3 linked regions of the Pelodiscus sinensis genome follow. The protein of the gene in region 1 interacts with the protein of each later gene in a biochemical or structural test. Links are inferred from orthologs where the notes say so. Each region holds a gene or a part of one and is shown in the gene's direction. Other genes may lie near its edges.

Evidence for each region.
Region 2: the proteins of AURKA (region 1) and USP21 form a complex in vitro, tested with the Homo sapiens proteins (2 studies listed by BioGRID, with this or other methods). The link is inferred for Pelodiscus sinensis from reciprocal best matches to the Homo sapiens genes AURKA and USP21.
Region 3: the proteins of AURKA (region 1) and GADD45A form a complex in vitro, tested with the Homo sapiens proteins (2 studies listed by BioGRID). The link is inferred for Pelodiscus sinensis from reciprocal best matches to the Homo sapiens genes AURKA and GADD45A.

The regions. Positions count from the first base shown.
Region 1 is NC_134728.1:15,109,334-15,113,078, forward strand, and holds the start of AURKA (aurora kinase A), read left to right. Parts: upstream 1-1,625; 5' UTR 1,626-1,985; intron 1,986-2,012; exon of another isoform or gene 2,013-2,099; intron 2,100-2,396; exon of another isoform or gene 2,397-2,699; intron 2,700-2,857; 5' UTR 2,858-2,862; coding exon 2,863-2,916; intron 2,917-3,745. Other genes in the region: CSTF1 (cleavage stimulation factor subunit 1), read right to left, coding at 366-512. UniProt on the Homo sapiens protein: Mitotic serine/threonine kinase that contributes to the regulation of cell cycle progression.
Region 2 is NC_134734.1:13,517,172-13,520,916, forward strand, and holds the start of USP21 (ubiquitin carboxyl-terminal hydrolase 21), read left to right. Parts: upstream 1-1,083; 5' UTR 1,084-1,098; coding exon 1,099-1,232; intron 1,233-1,559; coding exon 1,560-2,361; intron 2,362-3,745. UniProt on the Homo sapiens protein: Deubiquitinates histone H2A, a specific tag for epigenetic transcriptional repression, thereby acting as a coactivator.
Region 3 is NC_134719.1:19,582,707-19,586,451, forward strand, and holds the start of GADD45A (growth arrest and DNA damage-inducible protein GADD45 alpha), read left to right. Parts: upstream 1-882; 5' UTR 883-1,034; coding exon 1,035-1,078; intron 1,079-1,209; coding exon 1,210-1,311; intron 1,312-1,750; coding exon 1,751-1,970; intron 1,971-3,154; coding exon 3,155-3,268; 3' UTR 3,269-3,745. UniProt on the Homo sapiens protein: In T-cells, functions as a regulator of p38 MAPKs by inhibiting p88 phosphorylation and activity.

The DNA.
Region 1 (3,745 bases):
GATTTCTGGTCAGACATTAGAAAGGGATTAAAGAGCCTAGTAGGATCTGTAGTTGAAATTCAGAACTCCTTGAGTTCAATTCCTATTTTGATGGAGTGAGAGCAGCTTGATCTCAGGAGACTGGACAGGAGAACTGCTACGTTTTATTGGGTCTAGACTAGAAAGCCTAGGGATACTGCATGACATCGCCAATGTGCCACCCACATCCCAAGCCTTGCAGGAAGCCAGGCCTCTAAGATGACTGCAGAATTTAGTCGACAATAGGATGGCACTTTCAGACAAGGCACTTCAGGGGGCATCAGCTGAGGGCCTATCCCAAAAGAACAGCTCCCACCCCACCCCACCCCACAGGCGGTCCAACTCACCTCAGCCTCTAGAAAAGGCAGCCGCAGTGGCCGTGGCTCAGGAGGTAGGGGGCCCACGTTATTCAGGCCTCGGGGAAGCAGGCGTCTTTCACAGGCGGAGGGAAGGCGACGGCCTGACAGCCTCCTCACACCTGGCCTCGCCGCCATCGATCACTCGTCAGCGCCACACACCGAGACCACAATCACGCTTGTCCTCACGAGCGCGGGGGCAAGGGGAGCTGCCTTGGAGCACACGCCTCCAAAGGCCTCACGTTGTCCTCAGGCCGGATCGCACAATGGATCGAGGGCCCCTTGACAGCCCCGGTCCTAGGGGAGCCGCCTCACCGCTAAGTACAACGACACTGCCCAACGGCCCGCTGGCGTCGGTGCTCGAGCGCCCACGGCCCCGCCGGTGCGACACGATGGCTCCGCGTCTCCTTCGCGTTTGCGCTTCACAGCCCCCTGGGCCCCGTCACTGGCCGCACGTCACCGCTGGCGCGACACGCTGCCCAGTGACCCCCTGACGTCCCCGCGCGACGGCCACGGATCCCACGTCCCCGGCCACGGGTGCGACACGCTCGTAAGGCAACAGCCGCCCCTCTCCCCAGAGCAGGGGGTCTAAGCACCGTCTAGCGCAGCCTTCCCTGTCTCCACCCTCAGCCGCGCCGCGCACGCTCTCTGCGCCGGGCCGTAATGGCCGGCCAGGAGCCACTGATTGGCTACGCTTCAACCGCGCCGCCCGCCGATTGGTTCCGAAGCGTGCCTCTGGTCGCCGAGCGAGCCTGTCCCCACGTCACGGGCACGGCTCGAGCGCAGGCGTGCCCACGGCCTGCCGCGCCTTGCAGTCCCTAGGGTGGGTTTAACGCGACGTGCGTGCTTTACGCAGCAGTTGCCGCTCGCTTCTTCCGCTAGTTTCGTAGATGGAGGCGCCCGTTACGGAGTTTACTTTACACAATCACCGCGTGCTCGGTCTTTACGCAAATCGCGTCTCTCCAGCCCAGCTCCTGTCCACGCAGTTACTAGCAGCGGATTTGGACTTGCAGTTTTCCCGCGCTAGGGTTTATTTTGGGGGAGGGTGGAAGTTGCCAAGTTTGGTGTGTGTGGGGGTTGTCTTTTTAAAATGGTTGCTTCCAACTGACCCTCAGCGAGGGAAGCGTGGCGACCATTTTGAAAAGAAGCTCCACCCCCGCGCGGGCGTGAGCTCGCAAGCACGTCGCTTCCACAAAGATTTTTCCCGCCCTTCAAGTTAGCCAATGGCCGCGGCCCTGGTCACGTGGGATGGGGAGGCCAATCATGTATCTGAATTTTAAAAATAGCAGATTGGAGTAACAGGCCGCTTTGTGTTCACGTGGCTGAGCGAGACCAGTCGGGGGCCTCCGCGGGCGGGCACCTTAAACAAAAAAAAAACCCAAATCTCCATCAGCCGATCGTTTAATTATCTGTTGTACGGGCTATTCACCGCTACTACGCGGTGTGTGCGGGGGGAGAGCTAAGTTAGTTACAGGCGGTAAAGTGCTGAGCAGAAGCCGGATCCCGCCCTGCCCAGGGGGTGACTGGAGACTACACGCTTCATCCGTGGTGCAGCAGCACTGCCAGGGGCGAGCAGCGTTTAGTGTCCGGCAACGCTGCGCGGCGAGGGAGGTGAGACTGGGGAGCAGAGGCGGGGCGCTGGTCGGGCCAATGGAGAGCGGCGGCGGTTTAAAGGGTATCGCTAGGAGGGCGGTTTGAATTCAAACTGCTCTGACGGCGGTGACGGTGAGGAGACCTCGGGCGCTGGGGATGGGGTCGCCTCGGGGGCTGTAGTGTAGGGACGGAGGGGAACGGGGCTTCCTGGGGGCTGTACGATTGCGGCCGCGTTCGGGGGCTTCTCGAGTGGGGGGGGAGTGAGTTGGGGGGGTTGCAGCGGGGGGGGGCTTCTCAGATGGGGAGAGGGTGAGTTTATGGAGGGGTTGCAGCGGGGGGGTCAGTTTATGGAGGGGGTGCAGCGGGGGGGGGGGTCAGTTTATGGAGGGGGTGCAGCGAGGGAGGGTTTCCCAGGCGGGGAGTTTCCTGCAGGTGGGCGAACGTTGCAGCAGAAGGGGAATTGTGAGGCCTGTGCAGTTGCCTTTGAGGCAGTTTGTGAGCAGGAGCTGCGGGGAGGTGACGCCTTGTAATGGGGGAGAGGGTTGTCCGAGGAGCTGGATTTGAGGGGCAGGATCCAGGGACGGGGGGTTGTACGAGGAGGAAGAGCAGCTGAAATGGACACGGGGTTCCTAGACTCGGATTTTTCTGGCGGCTGGGAACCATCATCATCTACTCTCCCGGTGGTAACGAGAGGCGATTGAGCAGGACCGGATGTGGGAGACTACCAGTAGCGTGAGTGTGAAAACTGGATGTGGTGGTGTGGATGAGGATAGCAGAACGTAAGGGGGTGGGGGGCATGAGGAAGAAGTGTAGGGGGTGACAAGAAGGGTGCTCTGTTTATAAAAATTTCCATTTAATAATGTCTCTGCAATTAAATGTTCTCTATTTAGGTAACATGGAGAAAAATGGTAAAGAGAACCACAATGGGCTTCCTGGTCACAGTGTTAAGGTAAAGAAGTCTTGTACACTTGCGAGGCAAACACATTTTATTTGGTATGATCAGACAAAGATTCTACAAATTATCTGAGATAATTATCCAACTCTTGTATTGAAGCATTATACTCTGACATGGAATATTCACCAAGCTGCTTTGTCAGTAGCTCACTATTGTGAATACAACTTGTAAAGCTTCTATATATAGATTGCTTTCACATGTCGTAGGTGTTAAAACGTTTTCTTGTGGGGTGGCAGCTTAATCCATTCTGGGATGTATTGGTGGGAATGTTCCAAACAAGACACAAGATCTACATGTTTTGTTAGTCTTTAAAGTGCTGTTACACTATTTAAAAAAAAAATTTCAAGACACGAGATGTAATTCTTCCACCCCACTCAACATTGATAAGATCTGGCTGAAGTATTGTGTTCAGTTCTGAGCACCATACTACAATAAAAAGGGCTTCTTTTTAGTCTAGAGCAGTGGTTTTCAGACTACCAGTTGCAATCCAGTATTGGGCCACTGAATGTCAGGCACTGGGTCCCCTTGCTGTAGGATGACTAGTGGGGGTGGGAGGGGAACTAAAGCTGGCTTCCTGCCTGTCCTGGTACTGCACTGTGCCCTGGAAGCAGCCATCAGCAGATCTGGCTCCTAGGCAGAGGACCACTAGGTTATGAATACTGCCCCCCACCAAAAACACTGGCTCTGCACTTCCATTGACCAAGAGCTCAGGGTGGGGCAATGTTGTCTGTGGGCAAGAGCAGTATGCTTGCCTGCCTAGGAGCCGGGCCTGTGCCGGCATCTTCTGGGTGCGGTGTGATGTGCAGTTCCAGGACAGGCAAGA
Region 2 (3,745 bases), on another chromosome or scaffold:
TTTGGAGCAGCCTGTGGGGGTTTGACAATGGAGAGACCTCTGCAGGGAGAGAAGTCTGGTCAAAAGGGCCTACTCAGCCTTGGCCTTTCAGACTGTCACAAGGCACCCACTGAGCCCCCTGGCAGTGTAGGCTCTGCTCAGTAACTGCAGTAGGATCAATGGCTCCTTCTGCATAGACGACCAAGCTGCTGTTAGAGGGCCAGGCCTCGGAGGGTATGTCAACAGTGCAATTAGATGTGCATGGCAGGTCTGTGCCAGCTCATACAAGCTCACCGGGCTTGGGCAACGGAGCTCCGTAACTGTGGTGTTGACATTTGGGCTTGGGCTGCAGTCTCAGCTCTGGCAGGGTTCTACAGGCAGGGCTCCAGCCTGAGCCTGAACTAGGTATGTTAAAATGTGTTTAATTATGTAATCAGGTAGCCACTGAAAATGTCCGTGGTTACATGGAGCAGGGGGAGGGGAAGGTGTGTGTGCGCATGTGCGCGCACCCTGTGTGTAACCGTGCATGTTAATCGATATGCCCAAGCTCATTGGTTAACCATGTAAACAGTTACACTTCCACATTGCAGTTCAGCAGCACCTTAGCCTGAGTCGGTTGGCACAGGCTAGCCGAGGGGGGAGGGGGTTCAACTGCAGTGTTAACATATCCTTTGTTACACCTGCCTGGAGCTTGGGATCCTTGGCTGGAAGGCACCAGAGCCCGTTAACTCTCTGCCTTAAAAACTTGCTGAAAGGGGAGTGAAAGGCTGTCTCGGGTGACTGTCCTCGAAGCAGAGCAGAAAGGAGGGTAGATGGCATGATGCTGCCTCCAGGTAGTCCCGGCCACTTCTTTCTCTGCTGTGTGAGGTGGTGGTGTATTGCAGGATAGGGAGAGCCTCTGCCTGGCTTTCCCTCTTCACCCTCCTGAGGATACCCTGCCATTCCTGCCCAGCTGTGCACTATCCTACTCTGGTGGGTGGAGTCATATGGGGCCTGTCTCACTGGAGACCCTTCCTCCCTTTCCCTGGGCACACGGACTGGTTTGAGCCACTCTGGGCCCAGCCACCTCTCAAGATTTTGCAGAGATTCTGGTGGCCAGATGTCCTGGATGAAACTACCATGGGAGCCTGTGCCTGCATCATCCTATCTTGTGTTCTAGGGCCCCAGCCAATGGGAATCTCCACCTGGACAGCCACCGCCGAGGGGTGTGAGCTTGGTGCTGGTGGGGAAGAGACGCTCGCAGCTTGTGAGAGGTACGTCCAGTTGTGCTGCCTCTGAGCACCGGTCCATGCAGCCCAGCATCCATGCTTCAGCTGTGACCAGCACCTGCTGCTGCAGAGGATGGTTGCTGCTTCCTATAATGCAGTTAGTCAACTTTGAGTTAGAGAGAATTCACTCGCGTGACACAGAGTTGGTGCCGCTGTCCTGGAGCCTGGTCTCCCATTCCCTTGCTGAACCCACAAGACTGCACTGCCCTCCTCAAGCTGGGCCTGGCAGTCTGGGGTCTTGCCTCTGATAGCCGTGCTCTGTTAGCATGCCTTTGGCTTTGACTCACTGCGTTGACTCCTCTGTCTCCCCAGAGTTCTCCTTGCCATTGTCTCTACAATGCCCCAGGCCTCTGAACACCGGGTCAGCCGGACTAGAGAGCAGATCATCACATCACAGCCCAAGGCCACCACCAAGCTCCTGAATGGACACCGGGCCGTGAGCCAGGAGCGCCACGCCTCCGCCTCCCCTGCCCTGGCCAATGGGCTTTCCATGGCTCCCAAGATTCGCCCACTGCCTCCCCGGCCCATCCCTCTGGACGATCGGGGGAAGAAGCAGGAGCTCGAGAGGGGCCGCGCTTCGAAGCGCAGTGACATGCTGCGTGGCTCGGTGCCCAGGCGAGGGCCAGTGAAGGCCGACCATGCGGTTAAGGTGCCTAGCTCCCCACAGGCTAGCACCATGTCAGGCAGTGCCTCCTTCTCCTTGTTACTGGTGGGACGGGACACTGAGCGTAGGCTGAGCAACCTTGCCCGCTCCAAGTCCATCAGCATTGGGGACCTGAGCCAGGCAGGGGGACGAGGGGAGGAGGCGAGCGCGGTGCTCAGCCGCCTGACGCTCCAGGACCGCAGCCCATCCTGCAGCCAGAAGCTGGGCCTGGGGCACTTGGCTCTGAAGCGGAGCACTTCGCTCAGGAGGGTCAACGTGTCTCCTGCGCTGGATGGGAGGCCTGCGACCACGTTGCTCTCTGTCCGCACTGAGGGCTGCTCCAGGACTCACACCTCCAATCCTCAGGCCCCCGAGTATGTGCGCCCCCTGGATGTGCCAGTGGCTGGGAGCCCACCCAAGGGCAAGGTCCCGTCTCCAGCTCCGAGCAGGCCTGAGGAGAAGGCTTCTGTTGTAAGAGTGGTTTGACATCTACTGAGCATGATGGGTAGCAGTCCTCCCTGTATGGGGGTGGATGGGCCCTGTTACTGCTGACACCACCTGGCTCTGCAGGGTACAGTGCCTGGCCTGATGTTTGGGGGCTGCAGTCTCAGGCTTCCTCAAGAGGGGGAGGCTTTCTCCCACCTTGCCCCCGCCCTGACTTGCCAGTGGGAGTCTAGGCTTAGTGCTCTCTGGTTTGCCCCAAGCTGTCCCCAGCCTCCTCATTCCCATGAGAACCCAGCACCTGTGGGTGAGATCCTGGGAGCAGGCAAGTAGAAAGCCATGCCATGAGGCAGAATGGCCAGGTTCACTGGGGTAGTGGGAGGGTGACGTGCCTCAGCGAGATTTGCAGCTGGGGCTTGGAGGTGGAGTGATTTTTGTTTTGTTTTTTGTTTTATTTTGTTTTGAGTCCCTTGTCTGGCTACAATCACCCTGCTTCCCCCAGCAGCCTCCTGCCCGCTACCATACACATGCAAACCTGCGGGGAGTGGGTGGCATCAAAATGTCCTAATTGGGCCTGCGGGATGTCTGGGGGGAGGGTCTTTGGGCCCACTGAGTGGGGGCACAACATGCAAGTCAGCAAGCAGCCCCCAAGCCCCTGACTTGTCCTGCAGCAGCAACTTTGGCTGCTCCAGGAACGGCTTCCATTGCTCCTTAGCTGGGAGTTCCACTGATCCGCTGGGGGGGGGGGCGCAGCGCAGAGAGCCAGCTTGTGGAGTCAGTCTCTGGTGGGATTGCATGTGAAGTTAACAGATGCTGAGACTCGTGGATTGCTCACTCGGGTGGGGGAGGGACAGTGAGTGAGAGGCAAAACCACAGACCGTCCCCTACAACAGGCCTGGTATCAAGGCTTTGCCCCAGGTAATGAAAATGGCCCAAACTGTCCAAATGCCTAAATTTTGATCTCCAAACTTTGAGATCCCCCCATGTCCTGACCCAGAACTTTCCCTCAGTCCCTGCCTGCAGCTCCTCAACTTTCCTAGCAAAAGAACCTCCCAGGTGTGTTCACCCAGCACCAGCTGATAGTGTAACTGCTAATCGGTTCCCTCTAGGAAATCTTACCTAATCTGTGTGAGCACAGGTGTGGGGCTGAGCGCTAGGCATGGCCTGCTGCCCCACGCAGGGCTAGCGAGAGCTTGGCGTGCACCCACCTAGCAATCCAGTGAACTATGGCAGCCCTGAGGCAGGTTGGCCTGGGGCAGCTGGTTTCTTCCCCACCCCAGCCCTCTCGCAGTACCTGCGGCAGGGTCGATGACTGTTGGGTTGTATTTTCTTTCTCTGGTCTACGGTTCTTCAAGCACCTGCTGTCTCCGGAGTAGTTCTCCTTGCTAATTAATCCCACAGAGATGAGCCTCAA
Region 3 (3,745 bases), on another chromosome or scaffold:
TGGATCTTTCAACGATGTTAGGCAATGTTCCTGCTAAACTTTTTCAGCCATGTGTGGCTTAAATTTGTATGTGCACCAAGGCATGTGTGAATGTGCACCATCAGTAGAAACAAAAATCCTACCTGTGGGCACTCTGCTAGTCAGCTGGGTGGCCTTTGAATCTCTCCTGAACAAGACACACAAGCACACAGTTTACCGGGAACACTGGTGCTGGGCTCCCCCCACTTGCCCTTGTAAATCATCAGCTGCACTGAAATCCAGGGGTGCTGGGGACAGCACCCCTCCAAACGCAGCCCTATCGTGCATGCCAAAGGTCATGGGGCAGCAAAGGTGGCTTGAGTACCCAGGTCCCTCCCAGCCCATGCACTGTGACATCTGGGAGTCGGGTCACTGAAACGCTGCGCTGTGCAGCGCCATGCAGCACCTCGCTGCACATTGCACGCCAGCAGCTGCACTTGGCTTCCCCTAACCTGCTTACTAACCACTACTATTGTCCAGGCGCTTTGCGAGCATTAGCCCTGGCAACAGATTTGCACGGCAGCCCCTCCCCCCCCACACACACACGGGGAGCGGGGGGGGGGCGATGCACCGACTAGAAGCAGCCCACACAGGCAGCAAGCAGCAGGGATGATCGACAGCAGCGCCCTGCCACCGGGCAGACCCCGCCTCCCAACCCACCAGCCCCGCCAATCGGCGAGAGAGACGCCCCAGTCGTCACGCGCCCGGCTGCCCGGCCACCTCCTCTCGCCGGCGGGGCCCGGGCAAAGGGGACACGCAGTCCGGGAAACCACATTTGCATGGCCCAATGGGGCGGCCGCATGCAAATGAGGAAGGAGACGGTTGGCTGGATGTTGGCAGGATAACCCCGGCCGCGGCCGCCTTTGTCCCTCAGAGGCTGCTGCTGCGGCGCGGCTGGCGGGTGCGGGCGGCGCAGCCGGAGCTGGGGCAGCGCAGGGGTCGCGGCAGGGCCCCCGCCGGTGTGTCGCGAGGGGCGGGGCGGGCACGCTGCGGCCGGCGCCGCCTGCGGCTGCACGATGACTCTGGAGGAGCTGGCTCGAGAGCAGCAGGCGATGGGCAGGTACCGCGGCTGGGGGGGGGGGGGGGGCTCGGCACGGGGGCGGGGGGCGCTGCCTGTCAGCCGATCGCGGGGCCGGGGCGCTGCTGCCGGGCCGGCTGACAGGGGCCTCGGCTTGTGCTTGCTGCTCGCAGGATGGAGACGGCGGGGAGCGCGCTGGAGGAAGTTCTCAGCAAAGCTCTGACCCAGAGGAGCGTCACCATCGGCGTCTACGAGGCTGCCAAGCTGCTCAACGTGTGAGTGAGCGGCCCGGGGCCCCCTGCTGCTGTCTGGTAGCCCCCCGGGCAAAGGGGGGCACAGCCGGCTGCCCTGCCAGCCTGTGGAGCGAGCGGGTCCCCGCCTCATGCCTGGTTGCGGGGAGAGCACCTCAGCCCGTGCCTGGGCAGAGTGGGGAGCATCTGTGTGTGCTTGGGTGGAGGGGGGACACCCCGTGGGCACGGCCAGCAGGCACCTAGGGATGTGTCTGTAGATACTGTGTGTAGACAGCTCTCACCTTGTGAACATGCCTGTGCCCCTGGTTGCTTACCACCACCACCCCCATCCACCTTACAGAGTAGCTTCTGCATGTGTCCAAGCTGTGACATTGTGTATTGTTTCATTGGCGTGTGTCCGTGTTAAACATGACATTGGGCATTCATTGTGACTAATCGGTCTGTGTTGTTTCTTCCCTTGCAGGGATCCGGATAATGTGGTGCTTTGTTTGCTAGCTGCAGACGAGGAGGATGATCGGGATGTTGCTTTGCAAATCCACTTCACCTTGATCCAGGCTTTCTGCTGTGAGAATGACATTAACATCCTGCGAGTGAGCAACCCAGGCCGGTTGGCAGAGCTGCTGCTTCTGGGGGCGAATGGGGGAGCTGAGCAGCCTGCAGACCTGCACTGTGTGCTTGTCACAGTAAGTGACAATTCCATTTTCCCTCCCCCATAACAGGAGCACAAAAGACTGGCTGGCACAGAATTCCCTTATTGCTGCTTGGCTGGCTCTCTGAGGCCTATTCCTCACATTATTACAATGGGCTTCGCTGTTGAGATAAATCAAATCTGGGTTTGAATTTACACTTGCCACCCCCAGATGAGAGAGTGCTCAGACCTGGAACTTGGATCAGACCCATCCTGCCCTTTTCCCTACTTTATTTCCTGTACTAAGGTCATTGCACCGGAGCTGTTCCTGATTTGATCATAAAAGATCTTCCCGCTATGGACATGTTCAAACATGTTAGATCCTGTCAGCAGCAGCCTCCTGTATTTTTCTTTCCTTATTACAAATTGGCTCAGAGTAGAGATTAGATAGTGCAGAGTAGTTGATTTTAGAGTGAGAAGAATTTTTTCATTTAAAGTTCCAGCAAGGTTGAATACTTTGGTAATAATTTCTTAATTCTAACCCATGCTCAAAAGCTACCATGTAAATTTCTCTGGAGAAAAATAAGGTAATTACTCAACTATGATCTACCTGCTCTTTCGAGACAGCAGGAAAAAGGGTAGAGAATTTTCTGCTTAAAAAGTGGAGTAAATTTACGTGCATGCAACTCCTATTTCAATATTTTTCCCTATACAAAATAATTCTCAAAACACATGTTCATTATTCCCATTATGTGCAATACTGCACAAGAGTTACAAAAGTAATCTGAAGCAGTGTTCCACCTGTTTGTTTTGTATTTCTGGATTATAGGTTTAGATGCGGTAGCATAGGAGCAGTGTAATGTTCTTGAAGCTATTTTCCACAACTGCTCTACAATATCCTGACACTGTCATGAACCTCTGACAGAAATCTATGGGAATTGTGGCCTACTCTATATAATATTGTTTCAAATATACCAGATTATGAACGTGTGTGTATGCGGTATCATGAACACTAAAAAGAATCCCTATCAGTGTAGTCATGTATATACCAGAGGATTTCAAGAAACCTCTAAAGGATTTTAAATTATTTGTATCAAATTAAAATCAGGAGAAAGATCCAGCCCAGCTTTGCATTTGGATATTAGTTGTATATTAGTTAGTAGCACTATCTTTTTGCATTAGTGATTTTAAGACCATTCAGTTTTGTTTTAAAAAGCTTTTTTTTTTTTTTCCCCCCAGAATCCCCATGCATCTCAATGGAAGGATCCAGCATTGAGTCAGCTGATTTGCTTTTGCCGGGAAAGTCGCTACATGGATCAGTGGGTCCCAGTGATTAATCTCCCTGAGCGGTGATGGCATTTGGATGAAAACTAATTGAACAAAATTGCACTGAAATTTTGAAATACTTTAGTGGTTGGTCAGGAAATAAATCCCTATACCTGATGCAAGGATTACAAACAACTGATGTCAAATGGGTAGACTGAGATTGAACAACATGGTGTGTAGGGCTGAAGGAAGTTAACTTTATGGCTGCAAAGTCATGGGAATGAAAACAGAACCTGTGTTGAAAGAGTTATAAGCAAATGTCACTAAAGGAACTAAAAACCATGTAGGAAGATTTAAGAAGCTGCACAGTTGAGTTACTTTCGAAGTGCACCAAACATGAAGTTTTAAAACTGCAACTAGTAGTTTCTGGTTTAAAACACCTTTAATATGAAAGAGCAAAAAGGTTAATTAAAACTTTTTTTAAAAAAATTTATTGTATTTTGGGATGTTTATGCTCAAGGTTTTATGCTAAGATATACTAAGTTATTTTATGATATTGACAAA